Macaca fascicularis: one gene and its partner. The protein of the gene in region 1 purifies or fractionates together with the protein of each later gene. This does not show direct contact. Links are inferred from orthologs where the notes say so. Each region holds a gene or a part of one and is shown on either strand. Other genes may lie near its edges.

Evidence for each region. Proteins that work in one complex are often made in the same cells at the same time.
Region 2: the proteins of TNKS2 (region 1) and RNF146 purify together in Homo sapiens (co-immunoprecipitation; 3 studies listed by BioGRID and IntAct, with this or other methods). This does not show direct contact. The link is inferred for Macaca fascicularis from reciprocal best matches to the Homo sapiens genes TNKS2 and RNF146.

What each region holds. Positions count from the first base shown.
Region 1 is NC_088383.1:100,650,181-100,657,153, forward strand, and holds the end of TNKS2 (poly [ADP-ribose] polymerase tankyrase-2), read left to right. Parts: intron 1-2,473; coding exon 2,474-2,630; intron 2,631-3,378; coding exon 3,379-3,441; 3' UTR 3,442-5,811; downstream 5,812-6,973. UniProt on the Homo sapiens protein: Poly-ADP-ribosyltransferase involved in various processes such as Wnt signaling pathway, telomere length and vesicle trafficking.
Region 2 is NC_088378.1:31,211,607-31,218,679, reverse strand, and holds the start of RNF146 (E3 ubiquitin-protein ligase RNF146), read right to left. Parts: upstream 4,224-7,073; 5' UTR 3,993-4,223; intron 1-3,992. UniProt on the Homo sapiens protein: E3 ubiquitin-protein ligase that specifically binds poly-ADP-ribosylated (PARsylated) proteins and mediates their ubiquitination and subsequent degradation. May regulate many important biological processes, such as cell survival and DNA damage response.

The DNA.
Region 1 (6,973 bases):
AAGAGATCACTTGTTCTCATTTATTTTGGTAATAATCAGATAAGAACTAGTTACATTTTTGAGGGCGAAGCATTATGTTGGACAGCCTTAGAAATGCAAGCTAGGCATGTTTTTTGTTGTTGTTTTTTTATTATACTTTCTAGGGTACATGTGCACAGTGTGCAGGTTTGTTACATATGTATGCATGTGCCATGTTGGTGTGCTGCACCCATTAACTCGTCATTTACATTAGGTATATCTCCTAATGCTATCCCACCCCCCGCTAGGCATGTTTTAGATTGCTTTTGGCCCTCTCACCGATTATAATAATAGCTAATATTTATTAAATGATCCGTATGGGCCAATTACAATTTAAGCACTTGACCTGGTTGACTAATCATTAGAATATCTGGTGCCTTAAAGCATACTGAGTAGAAAGTAACATTAGGCATGAAAGAGGCTTTATTGTAGCCCTTGAGTATTGTAGGACTCTGTGGACTCTTTAAAAATCTAGTATTCAAATGCTAAAATGGCATTATTTGTCAAGTCTAATTATTTGATCGCAGTGCCTGAGCCTCTCTTCCACTGTGATACGATCCTAATCTTCAATTTGCAATACTACTATAAGAACTTAAAATTAAAACAATGATCCTTTTCGAAAGGAAATAATAATCAAATAACTACTTTGCACTTTTTTTCCACTTTTAATTACCTGTTCTAACTCACTTGTTAAAAATCATTTAAGTAATTTGTCCCTAACTTTAAAAATCCTTATAGGCAAAAAGTTATGCCATTTGAAAAATCCAGTAAGATTAATTCCTGAGATTTATTCAACAGGGCACTACTTAATGAATATATAGAGCAGTAGTTTATCAAGCATTAGCATGCATTAGAATCACCTAGATGGCTTGTTTAAATCACAGATTCTTAGGCTCTACCTTCTCAGTTGCTGATTTAGTAGATCTGGGGTGGGGCTCTAGAATTTGAGTTTCTACCAGGTTCCCAGATGTGACGCTGTATTTCTGACCACTGATCTAGAAAAAACCCTTAGAGCAGTATTTTGCACTTTGGCAGCACATTGGAATCATCCAGGGAACATTAAAAAGCTATTAATGCTTGTGTCCCACCCTCACAGAATCTCATGTAATTAGTCTGGGGCATGATCTGGATATTAGAGTTTTTTAAAGCTTCCCAGCCAATTTCAAAGGACTTCCAAGCTGAAGAATTGCAGTCATGGAGGGAAACAGGTTCTTTCTTTGTGTTTGTTTTGTTCTTACTGTTATCCCTCTAAATTTAGGACTGCATAGGTAGTACACAGTAGGCTCTCCTGTGTGGGATCTCCCGCTCACTTCTATTTTAGATCATAAATTGGAGTGGTTAGGAGGCATGTAATTTCCTAAGATTTTGTAAATTTGAACACTGCTGTTTTTATTTGTCATATATGGTCTGAAGGATAAATAGTTCTAATTATTAGTAATAAGCAACATTCTAACACCTCCCTTTTCTTTGGAAGATAGAACCATCAACTGGTCTACTGACATCTCCTGTTATCTTCTAAAAGGAAACAATAACATTAATACTAAAAGGTTGTTTGAAACTAAGAAAGGCCAATCACATGCCTGAGAGAAGTGGGAGGATAATCTACTGAAACTGGTGGTGAGGGGAGACCTATCTAAGGAAGTACCATTTCAGGGGAAGTCTGAAAATTGAGTGGGTATCAGCCAGTGGAAGAGTGGTAAAATAGATCCCATTCCAGTGATGGAGAAAATTATATGGATGGGGACCATTAATAAAGGAAGTTTGGCCTTTGTGAAGAAAAGAAAACTAATGTGCATGGGGCAGAATGAACATAAAATGAGATTCAAGAAATTGAAGCCATTGTACAGAATTTCTCCCAAGTACAGTGAGCAGCCTCTAAAAGGTTTTAAGCAGAAAAGTGATTTGATCTAATTTTTGTTTGTTTTAATTACTTGGATGGGAAAGGTTTGGACAGGAATTAGAGAAGAAACAGGAAGACTGGTTTAGAAAGCCAATGTGTGATAGTCCAGGTGAAAATTTCAGTGATTTGACTTAATAGTGACAGTAGAATGAAGAGTAAATGGATTTCAAATATATTTTGAAGGTAAAAAATCAACTAGACTTAATTAGATATGTGTCCAACTTTGCAAGCCACTTGATGGAAGACCCTTAAACCTTCTCCTTCCCACTTTGTCATTGACTTGTGTTTTTTGCTGAGACACAAACAAGGTGGTAGAGTCTGCATCTCTATAAGGTTATTACCTTTTTCAGGTTTTATAGTTAAAATAAGGACTAACTAAATTGACAGATTATTTCATTAATAAGAGTAATAGAAGACATTCTTAAAAAGTTCTTTTAGGGGTAAAATGATAAAAACAATTATAAGTATTTATTAAAACTTATGCCGTGTCCACACATTGTCATATTTATGTGTCACGTTTGCCTTCAGGGTGATCTCTTCCTTTTCATTTTATAGGCAGCTGCTCTTTTGCCGGGTAACCTTGGGAAAGTCTTTCCTGCAGTTCAGTGCAATGAAAATGGCACATTCTCCTCCAGGTCATCACTCAGTCACTGGTCGGCCCAGTGTAAATGGCCTAGCATTAGCTGAATATGTTATTTACAGAGGAGAACAGGTAATGCAGTTTTATTTGTTCATCTTCAAAAATGCTAGAGAGGCATACTTTAACTTTTTACTAATCTCTTGACAAGACATACTACCTTAACTGGATTTTTTAAAAATTTTATTTGGAAATAATTCATATTTGGAAAGTTACAAAAATAGTGAAGAGAATTCCCTTATAACCTTTACCTAGATTTCCTAAATGTTAATATTTTGTTCTCTTTTTTCTCTTTTATCATTCACTCCTTCCTTCCTTGTGTGTGTGTTTGTACATTTTTTTTGTGAACTGTTTGAGAGTAAGTTGCAGGGCATATCCCTTTACCATTAACTATTTCAATTGTAAATTCCTAAAAACAAGACTTTATTCAAATTTTGTCAATTGTTCCGGATTTTTTTTAGCTCTTATGATTGAAATCTTGTATTTAACAGCCTGTCTGTAGCAAAGAAGTATATAATTGTGTTTTGCGCTCAGTGAAAGCCAAAAGTAGTTCTAGAGCAGTGTTGTGAACTGGGGGTAGGTATCGGAATCACCTCAGTTACTAAAATCAGACATGAACTTAGTATTCTTCCTAGACTTGCTGATTGAAAATCTAAAGAACTGTAGTCAGGGTAAAGATGTTTTGAGAAAATGTCCCTAGATGATTCTTATCTACAACACTAATTTAGAACCTCCTCCCTAAGACTAGGAATACTTACAGAAAGTCTATTTATCTTTCAGGAAAATTTGTGTACCATTATTTGAATTTGTCTTTCTCTTCCAGGCTTATCCTGAGTATTTAATTACTTACCAGATTATGAGGCCTGAAGGTATGGTTGATGGATAGTTATTTTAAGAAACTAATTCCACTGAACCTAAAATCATCAAAGCAGCAGTGGCCTCTACCTTTTACTCCTTTGCTGAAAAAAAATCTTGCCCACAGGCCTGTGGCAAAAGGATACAAATGTGAACGAAGTTTAACATTCTGACTTGATAAAGCTTTAATAATGTACAGTGTTTTCTAAATATTTCCTGTTTTTTCAGCACTTTAACAGATGCCATTCCAGGTTAAACTGGGTTTGTCTGTACTAAATTATAAACAGAGTTAACTTGAACCTTTTATATGTTATGCATTGATTCTAACAAACTGTAATGCCCTCAACAGAACTCATTTTACTGATACAATACTGTGTTCTTTAAAACACAGCATTTACACTGAATACAATTTCATTTGTAAAACTGTAAATAAGAGCTTTTGTACTAGCCCAATATTTATTTACATTGCTTTGTAATATAAATCTGTTTTAGAACTGCAGCGGTTTACAAAATGTTTTTCATATGTATTGTTCATCTGTACTTCATCTTACATCGTCATGATTGAGTGATCTTTACATTTGATTCCAGAAGCTATGTTGAGTTGTTACTTGGGAAAGATTGAGTTATCAGATTTAATTTGCTGATGGGAGCCTTTACCTGTCACTAGAAATCTTTCTCATTTAAGAACTTATGAATATGCTGAAGATTTAATTTGTGATATCTTTGTATGTATAAGACACATTCCAAAGAGCTCTAACTATGGCAGGTCCTGATTACTAAATAAGCTTCTTTACTGGCCTCAATTTCTAGCTCTCATGTTGGAAAATTTTCTAAAGTCATTCTGTGAAAATTAGAGCAAAGTGCTCCTGTTTTTTAGAGAAACTGAATCTTGCTGTTGAACAATTACTGTGTTCTTTTCGTGGAACATAAGTAGGATGTTACATTTCCAGGGTGGGAAGGGTAATCCTAAATCATTTCCCAATCTATTCTAATTACCTTAAATCTAAAAGGGGAAAAAAAAATCACAAACAGGACTGGGTAGTTTTTTATCCTGAGTATTTTTTTTTCTGGTTCTTTTTACTTGGTTTTATTGCTGTGTTTGTAGCCAATCTATACATCATGGGTAAACTTAACCCAGCACTATAAAATGTAGTTGTCTCAGTCCCCTCCAGGCCTCCTGAATGGGCAAGTGCAGTGAGACTGGTGCTTCTTGCTCCTGGGTTTTCTCTCCATGATATTATGCCCAACTGGAAATACGCTCTCAGTTTGTGCACCATGTGGTGACCAGGCCTGTGTTCAGTTTGGCAGCTATAGAAGGAAATGCTGTCCCATAAAATGCCATTCCTATTTTCTAATATAAAACTGTTTTCCAGGAAGCAAGCTTAAGCATCTTGTTACAGAGACATACATCCGTTACGGCTTGGCAATCTCTTTTACTTGTTGACTCTAGCTCCCTTCAAAGTCGAGGAAAGATCTTTACTCACTTAATGAGGATATTCCCCATCACTCTCTGTACCAGTTCACCTTTATTTTACATTTTATTCAGTCTGTAAATTAACTGGCCCTTTGCAGTAACTTGTACATAAAGTGCTAGAAAATCATGTTCCTTGTCCTGAATAAGAGTTGATCAGAGTAAATGCATTTCTGGAGTTGTTTCTGTGATGTAAATTATGATCGTTATTTAAGAAGTCAAATCCTGGCCTTGAAGTGCTTTTTATACAGCTCTCTAATAATTATAAATATCCTAAAGTCATTTCTTGGAACACAAGCGGAGTATGCCAAATTTTATATGAATTTTTCAGATTATCTAAGCTTCCAGGTTTTATAATTAGAAGATAATGAGAGAATTAATGGGGTTTATATTTACATTATCTCTCAACTATGTAGCCCATATTACTCACCCTATGAGTGAATCTGAAATTGCTTTTCATGTGAAATCATTGTGGTCTGTGAGTTTACAATATTGCAAACTGTGTTATTTCATCTAATCAATTGCTTAATGAGTGTGTTTTTCCATGAATGAATATACCGTGGTTCATATGTTAGCATGGCAGTATTTTCAGATAGCTTTTGTTTGTTGGGAAGTTGGGGTTTTGGGGGGAGGGGGTGTATTAGTACGTTGCATGAAATAGCTTACTTTATGATGATGGAATTGCTTTTTCTTTTGTCTTGTGATTTTTTTTTTTGAAGTGAAATTTAACTTTTTGTGCAAGTAGTACTATTATACCCATCTTCAGTGTCATACTTGTATTGTATCACATTCCATACCCTCATTTAATTCTTAATAAAACTGTTCACTTGTTTTTCTGGGTAGCATGGTAATTACTGGAATAGTATAAATGTGTTGAATGGTCTTTGAGAAAATGAATTAAGATTACAATAAACCACAATTGCAGGAAAACAATGTAGTTCTGAGTCTAATAGTGATAAATAATGCAGTTTGAAGTTTGAAATATTGAATATTGTAGCTGTACTTGCTCATTAAAATGAAAGTAGCTGTGAGATGCTTTCAACATTTAATCTATTCAGCACAACTTTGGTAAACCTTGAAGCTCATTCCTGGGAAATTAATCTTCTTAACTTATAAAAAGAAATATATTTTTATTTCTATGTCATATGAAAACATTCTTATAAGTTTCCAAATCTCAAAGTTAGTGGTATTTATTGCTATTAAAAGAAAGTATAATCGCATGTGTATATTAGACTTCAGTATGTTAAGTTTCGTTGTGTGTAGGCCGGGCGCGGTGGCTCAAGCCTGTAATCCCAGCACTTTGGGAGGCCGAGATGGGCGGATCACAAGGTCAGGAGATCGAGACCATCCTGGCTAACATGGTGAAACCCCGTCTCTACTAAAAATACAAAAAACTAGCCGGGCGAGGTGGCGGGCGCCTGTAGTCCCAGCTACTCGGGAGGCTGAGGCAGGAGAATGGCGTAAACCCGGGAAGCGGAGCTTGCAGTGAGCTGAGATCCAGCCACTGCACTCCAGCCTGGGCAACAGAGCGAGACTCCGTCTCAAAAAAAAAAAATATATATATATATATATATATACACACACATATATAGTAATATAATATATATTGATTGTATAACCTTTCCCAAATAAGTTGTTTGTTTGTTTTTTTGAGTCTCGCTCTGTCGCCCAGGCTGGAGTACAGTGGCTTGATCTCGGCTCACTGCAGCCTCCGCCTCCCAGGTTCAAGTGATTCTCCTGCCTCAGCCTCCCGAGTAGCTGGGATTACAGACCTGCGTCACCATGCCCAGCTAATTTTTGTATTTTTAGTAGAGACGAGATTTCACCATGTTGGCCAGGCTGGTCTCAAACTCCCAACCTCAGATGATCCACCCGCCTCGGCCTCCCAAAGTGCTGGGATTACAGACATGAGCCACTGCGCCCAGCAGAGGATATTTATTAACATAAGAAAATGCTTTGGATATAATGTTAAAAGACTTAGGATAAACAATATGATCCTGCTTTGTTAAAGCAAAAACAAATCACCTGTCTACATGCATAGAAAACAGATTATCCATAAATTAATACACTGAAATGTTAATGGGAAGCTATC
Region 2 (7,073 bases), on another chromosome or scaffold:
GGCTCACGACTGTAATCTCACCACTTCGGGAGGCTGAGGTGGGCAGATCATGAGGTCAAGATATCAAGACCATCCTGGCCAACATGGTGAAACCCCATCTCTACTAAAAATACAAAAATTAGCTGGGTGTGGTAGCGCACACCTATAGTCCCAGTTACTTGGGAGGCTGAGGCAGGAGAATCTCTTGAATCCGGGAGGCGGAGGTTGCAGTGAGCCGAGATCGCACCACTGCACTCCAGCCTAGTGACAGAGTGAGACTCCGTCTCAAAAAAAAAAAAAAAAAACCATAAGGAAGAAAAATATATTTACGTTCATTACGTAGAAATGGATCATCATAAAGGTCTTCATCCTTTTCAGGATAAGGAGAAACAGGAGGCATTGGTTTTGCTCTCTCAGGGGTGGCAGGGGCAGAAAAAAAAATTCTTGTATAAGTGGAACTGCACAGTTCAAAGCCTTGTTCAATGGTCAACTATAATTTCAACTGGGCACAAAATAGGGCATACATGTAATACTTAGAACAGTCATGTGAAGAAGTCCTCAGAAAACATCCATATTATTTGAAAACAAAGATTTTTTTAAAGTTGGAGGAGAAGGGATGCTTTTATTTTAACCAATAGGGGGATGTAAAACAACAGCATAATTTTAACTGCAGGCCAGAATTAATTTGCCAAACATAAATAACTCAAACATACATAATTCCTACTGGAATGAATGACTTGTAAATTTTACACCAAACTTAATATGATGATCTATTAAGAAGGTAACATAAAAAAAAAGAAAAAGTCTAAAACCAAATTAGATACTTTGCCCCTAACAATTCTGAAGGAAAAAAAAAAAGTGACAAGTAAAACTTAAAAATATACAAAGCGGTTTAGGGATTATCAATGAATTTAAATCTTGACCCATTCAAATAAGTGAAAAATAAATACAACTAAAAATGAAGTAATATTGTACCATTTATAATTTGTAACAACTCCAAATATTCATACTCCCACTTTTCAAGTCAGTCACAAGATCAAAGTCGAGTTTTTTCAGGTAATAGATTCAAGCAAGCGATTATCTTTAATCAAAGAAAAAAAAAAAGAGCATGTAACATCAATATAAGTACATATAAAAACAAAGACAAATATCAATTATAAATATTTGAAGACTTACTGTATTTTTCCAATTATTAACAGCTAATGTCAGATTTTTACCATTTATTCAAAATACACAAAACAGGAAATGTTCTACATGAAAGCACTTAGTAACAGAAAAAATACTTGAAATGTTCCCACTTTTAGTATACAACTCAAAAAAAAAATTATATATACATAAAAGGAGTAGATAAATCTAAATGTGAGTTAGCAGACGCATCTTAGTATTTTTTATGAACCAGTCCCAAATTGAAATATGTAACTAAATGCCCTAATCATCGCCTGCTAAAAATTAGCTGAGAAAAAGAATAGGTCATACTTGGAAACTTCAGACAAAACTCATTTCAACTAAATGGGGTCTGATACTTTATTTTAAAGAATCACTTCCCTTTAAGACGTTACTATGTGGCAATCTACTTACTGCCTTCACAATCTTTATACTAGCGCATTAAACCCTTTAATTTTTCTCAAAACAACAAAAAAGTGGGCTTTGCATTTTATTTCAAAACATGAGATGTAAAAGTGAACAAATACTGTCTTTTAATCATATCACACACAGATGTTTCTTAGCCAGCAACGATTTCATAAACAAGGAAGCTCTTTGGCAAATTATCTGTGTGACCTTGGTCAAGTCAAAAGACCCCCAGTCTTTTGTTATCTCATCCTACTGTATAATTCTGTAATTCTAAGTTCTAAATGCTTTAATTAGCAGTCAGTTAACAACACTTTGGATTTGAATTAACCCAAAAGGTCATACGCCACAAAAACTAAACACAGTCCATAAGTAAGCACAGGTGGTTGTAGCCAAGTGTTACATAAATTGGTTTCTATATCTACAAAGATGTTGTTCCACAAATTCAGATTCCTCAGGCACAAGGCAACCAGATAAGAGAATGGAAAAGGCTCAGTACCTTCTGTTACTAACACAGGAGAAAAATACGCATTCGAATTCCTAACTGTCAGAGCTGTTAGATGTTTCCTGGTAGTATATGGTTAACATATAAAATAATACTCTTTAAACAGATCGATATTGTGAAAACAACATATTTAATATCCTTTTCTTCTTTTAACTCAAAATATCGTTTTGGATCCTTTTTTAAAAAAGTCTGTTCCTTTCCTCTGACAATTTTAAGTTGGTGGAGACTGAAACAAAACACTTTGTAAGTTGACATCTCCTTTTAAAAAAAGTTAATTTTTTCTTTCTCTTGTCTAAAAGACCAGCTATTTGGAGAAAGTTTTCCTGATGATTATAATTCTACCAAGTTTTGAACAACCAGCGAAGAAAAAAAAAATATTTAAATGTATTTCCATTCTGCCCACATGACACACTGGCCCATTTGAGACATAAATTCTAAATGAAAGATTGGACTGAACAACATCCTCCACTCTAAGATATACAAGGCACCAAAACAAACACATCCAAAATCTATTTTTAGAGTGGTGTTTCACTCTTCCGGTTTTCTCTTTAAAACGAGATTTACTTGACCTATTTTCAAGTGTTTTTAGGGCACCCAGGCACTCTATACAAACAGTATTTGCTAGTCATAAAACAGCAAAGCAAAAATCACAAATCCTGGTATTAGTGTGGGACATTTTCTCCATGTGTCCTTACGTGCCATGTCTTTTAAAAGTCTAAATATAGATTCACTGACTAAAATGTCCTAAGTCTTCCAAATTCTATAATTATATACTGGATTGAATGCCATCATACGTTCACATCCCATTTGAAAAGTACACACACGGGGTGGGGGTGATGCGCCCAGTACCTGAAACGTCAATCATACAAAGAACAAAGCGTTCCCTATCTTTGGGCTTTCTTCTCACCTCAGTTCTACATTGTTTCAATATTACAAAAATATTAAACAAAATGTTCAAAACTTGAGATATAAGTGCTCACTAAAATGGCACTTGTAGAAAAGAAATTAAAACGTATACCAAAATGATTAACGATAAAAAATTCTAGTTGCCAGGATGTGTGTGTAAACTTACAGTCCTGTAGGTTTTACCTGTGGAGAGGACGGTTCCTTCTCCACACTCTTAAAAACAATTTTACATTCTTTAGAAGCCTTCGCAAAATAAATAGCGACAACAATGGAAGACCGACACTCCTCTCATGGGATGGAGGGTAGGAAGAGAACTCCCCACCCAACAAACAGAACAAAGCAACAGTCTCAGCTTTCAAGATGCACAGAGGGTTTGGAGGCTCAAGGGATACTGTGAGATCTCTTAATTGTTCCGATGCTTCAACAGCCGTCAAAACAACTAACAATATGCAGCGCTGGGCTTCACTAGAACAAGGTGCAGGGATTGCTCTCTTCGTATTAGCCAAGACCAAGACACCGAGGAGGAGGAAAAAAAGGAGGAAGAGAGAGAAGAGAAAGCAGCAGCCAGAGACACTCCGGGAAAAGACAAAAATGCAGACTGTACGCCCTGGCTTCGATCTGACCCAAGGCCTAAACTGTCTGACCCCACACGGGAAACAGGGAGCAGGCTACTGTCGAAAAACCATCGCCGCCCCTACACCTCGAGGCCAGGAGGTCCCCGGGTAAAGGCCTGAAACCACGGCCCAGGGGGAGGAGAGGGACCCGCCTGCCACCCGAGGCAGCGACGCGGGCTCAGGCGGAAGACGCTGCGCAGTAATGGCCGCTGCTCCGCCCCTCGCACCCGGACCGAGACCAGCTCCGGCCGTCACCTAGGGCAGGGGCTGCGGGGCCCTCGGGCAGCGCATGGGCTGTCACGGTCGTCTTGCCTGCCCCAGCAGCCAAGGCGGGGGTGGTGGAAAGGGCTGAGCTGTCCCATCCCGCCTCTGCGCGGACAGCCGGGGCCGCGCCAGCCCAAGGGCGTCCATCTACGTACCGGCCCCTGACCCCGCCGCCGCCCCTCTCAGGCCCCGAGCGCAAGGCCGACCCGGAGTACGTTGCGGCTGGAGGTGACACCGCGAGGTATGCCTCCTGTCCCCGAGTGAGGATCCTGGAGTGGCCGGCGTTCACCCTGCTCCCCCGAGAGGGCCTCGCTCCGACTCCCACCTCTCCGGCCACAGCTGCGGCCACCTCGCAGTCTTTTCTCTCTGGCCTCGGAGCCCGCAGCGGCCGGGAACGCGCGCGGCCGTCACGTGACCACTCGGCGCGTCACGGAGGCGGGGCCGCGCGGGGCGGAAGCCGTGCCGCGCACCCGCGAGCTGGCTCCGGCGTCTCCTTTTTCTGTCCCTGCATCGCTTCGCTGCCTTCCCGCACTCTCTTGCTTGTGGGGACCGGCGACTTCCCTGCTTGGATTCTTCTGGCTGCTTTAGAGTGTGCTTTAGTTGTATTAGGGCCCAGAGGCACTGAAAGAATGCAGTTCCAGCAGAGAGAGGTTTGGGGTGGAGGAAGTAAAACGTGTGTAGGCCCGGCAGGTGGTGCTGCTCAAAAATCCAGCTTTGCTATCCCGAGGAAGCCCTGGGGCGCCTAGCTGAGTTTCGGCTTGAAGATCCCTTAGCAAAAGTACTGCTTGTTCCACTTCAAGAAAAAAAAAAAAAGGAGGGTCGTGGGCGGGGATGGAGGGCAGAGAGTACTTTAGGACTTTCCAATTTATTCACCTTTTTAATGGTTGAGCAATTTAATACGGGAAAAAATTGGTATTTTATTTTGAGCCCTCCCCTTTTTAAAAAAACAGAATAGTGCCTGAGAAACTGAAGAAAGAAATTAATCTGCGTGAGAATCTAAAATTAAATAGGTTATTTTGGTCGCAAGCCTGTGGTTTTAAACATCAGACCTCTAGCAGTAATTCACCGTTTTAGCATGTACGTTTCCTTTTTCAGAACTGATAAAATTTTCCTAATGTGTAGGAAAATGAAGAGGGTGGAAGAGCAGACCTTTTATCTTTAAAAGAGTATGTATTTCAACATTCTGTGACAGTGTCTTCTCGCATTTTGGGATTTCATTAACTGATTCAGGATTGGAAGTTTTCAGTGCCCTTATAGGTATAGAAATGTATATGTTTTCTGTTATTCCCCTGAAATCAGTTTATTTCAGGGTTTTTATTCACATATATTAATATGTCAACCAATCTCTTGAAGGGTGCATCTAGTTCAGTGATGCTTGTGCATGTATGCAATACTGTTTTTCTTATAAGTTCTATACATGTAGAAATATTGAAGTGTATATCCTTTAAGCTTAGTTTTCTATCTTTATCTTCTTATTAGCCACTCAGTTTTGTCCCTGTATCCTACACAGCCCAAGAACAGAGAATCGCTAAAATTTGATATGTACTCGAAGATTCCAGCTTAAAGAGGTAATGCTAGTATTAACTAACGATGTACCGGGTGTTTCTCTAAGTGCTTTATTCATATATACCCATTTAATTCTCCTAATAAACTATGAGGTAGACACTATTATTCTTCCCATTTTACAGAGAGAGACACACAGCTAAGATTTGAATCCAGGCACAGACTGTAAGATGTCAACTAGTTCCACCTCTTCTCACTCATACCCAGGGTCTTTGTATTTCAAATGGCTGCATTTTTCCTTGTTCAAACCCATCTTTAATTCATCTCTTTTATGTCTTATATACATTGGCATATAATCTGTTGGCTCTTCCTTCAGAGTATATCCAGAATCCAACTGCTTACCACCTCCACTACAATCTGCATTATCACTTGTTTGGATTATAGTATTATGGTAGACCAAGAACTAGTCTTTTCTTTGACTCTGTTCTCAATACAGAATCCAAAATTACTTAAAAAGAAGTGAGATCATATCACTCCCTTACTCAAAGTCTCCTATGGCTTCCCAACACAAGTACAAACCAAAGTCCTAACAATGACTTTAAAATCCTCCCCTCATTACATCTTTGACCCCACAGACTGTTTACCCAGCTTTGTATTCCCAGAAAGCTCTCCACAGGCTCCCAACCTCATAGTCTTTGCAGTTGCAGTTTCCTCTGCTTAGAACACTCTTCCCCGTCATGCTCCCTCCATATGTGCTCAGATGTCCAACTCTTCAGTCAGTCCTTCTACTTGTCACCACATTTTAAATCATGACATTTCCCATTCCCGATATTTCATATTTCCTCCTTTACTTTTTAATACTTATCACAATGTAATGGATAATTTATTTTACTTACTAATCTTCATCATATGTCTCTCCACATTAGGATGCAAGACTTGGGAGGCCAGGAATGTGTGTTCTATTTTGTATCTCAACTGCCAGGAATAGTGCCTGACCCATTTAAAGAGGTTCTCTGTAAATATGTGTTACATGAGTGAATGAATGAATGAATGAATGAATACACGCATGGCCGGGCACGGTGGCTCACGTCTGTAATCCCAGCACTTTGGGAGGCCGAGGTGGGCGGATCATGAGGTTAGGAGATCCAAGACCATTGGGGCTAACACAGTGAAACCTCGTCTCTACTAAAAATACAAAAAAATTAGCCAGGCATCGTGGCACACGCCTGTAATCCCACCTACCCGGGAGGCTGAGGCAGGAGAATCGCTTGAACCTAGGAGGCGGAAATTGCCTGAGATCATGCCACTGTACTCCAGCCTTCACTGCAACAGAGCGAGACTCTGTCTCAAAATAAAAAACCACATTCATGTATGTGACTGTGTTTATATATACACATACATATGTATATACTTATGTATACACATATGTATACATATATACATGATACTTATGTGTATGTACATATATATGTATATACGTATATACTTATATGTATATACTTATATGTACATATATATACACTTATGTGTGTATATATACATATACACACTTTTTATGTATATTAATAAAAGTGAACTCATTATTTTTCAGTAGTTGCATATGAAGAGCAGAATTGAATGCATGGAATACTATACACCCTACCTCTATCAGCCACTTGAAAGAAAGATAGTGAGAAGTTTATATCTTTGAATAATACAGGACAGCACCTCTCAACATTGTCAGAGCGCTGGTT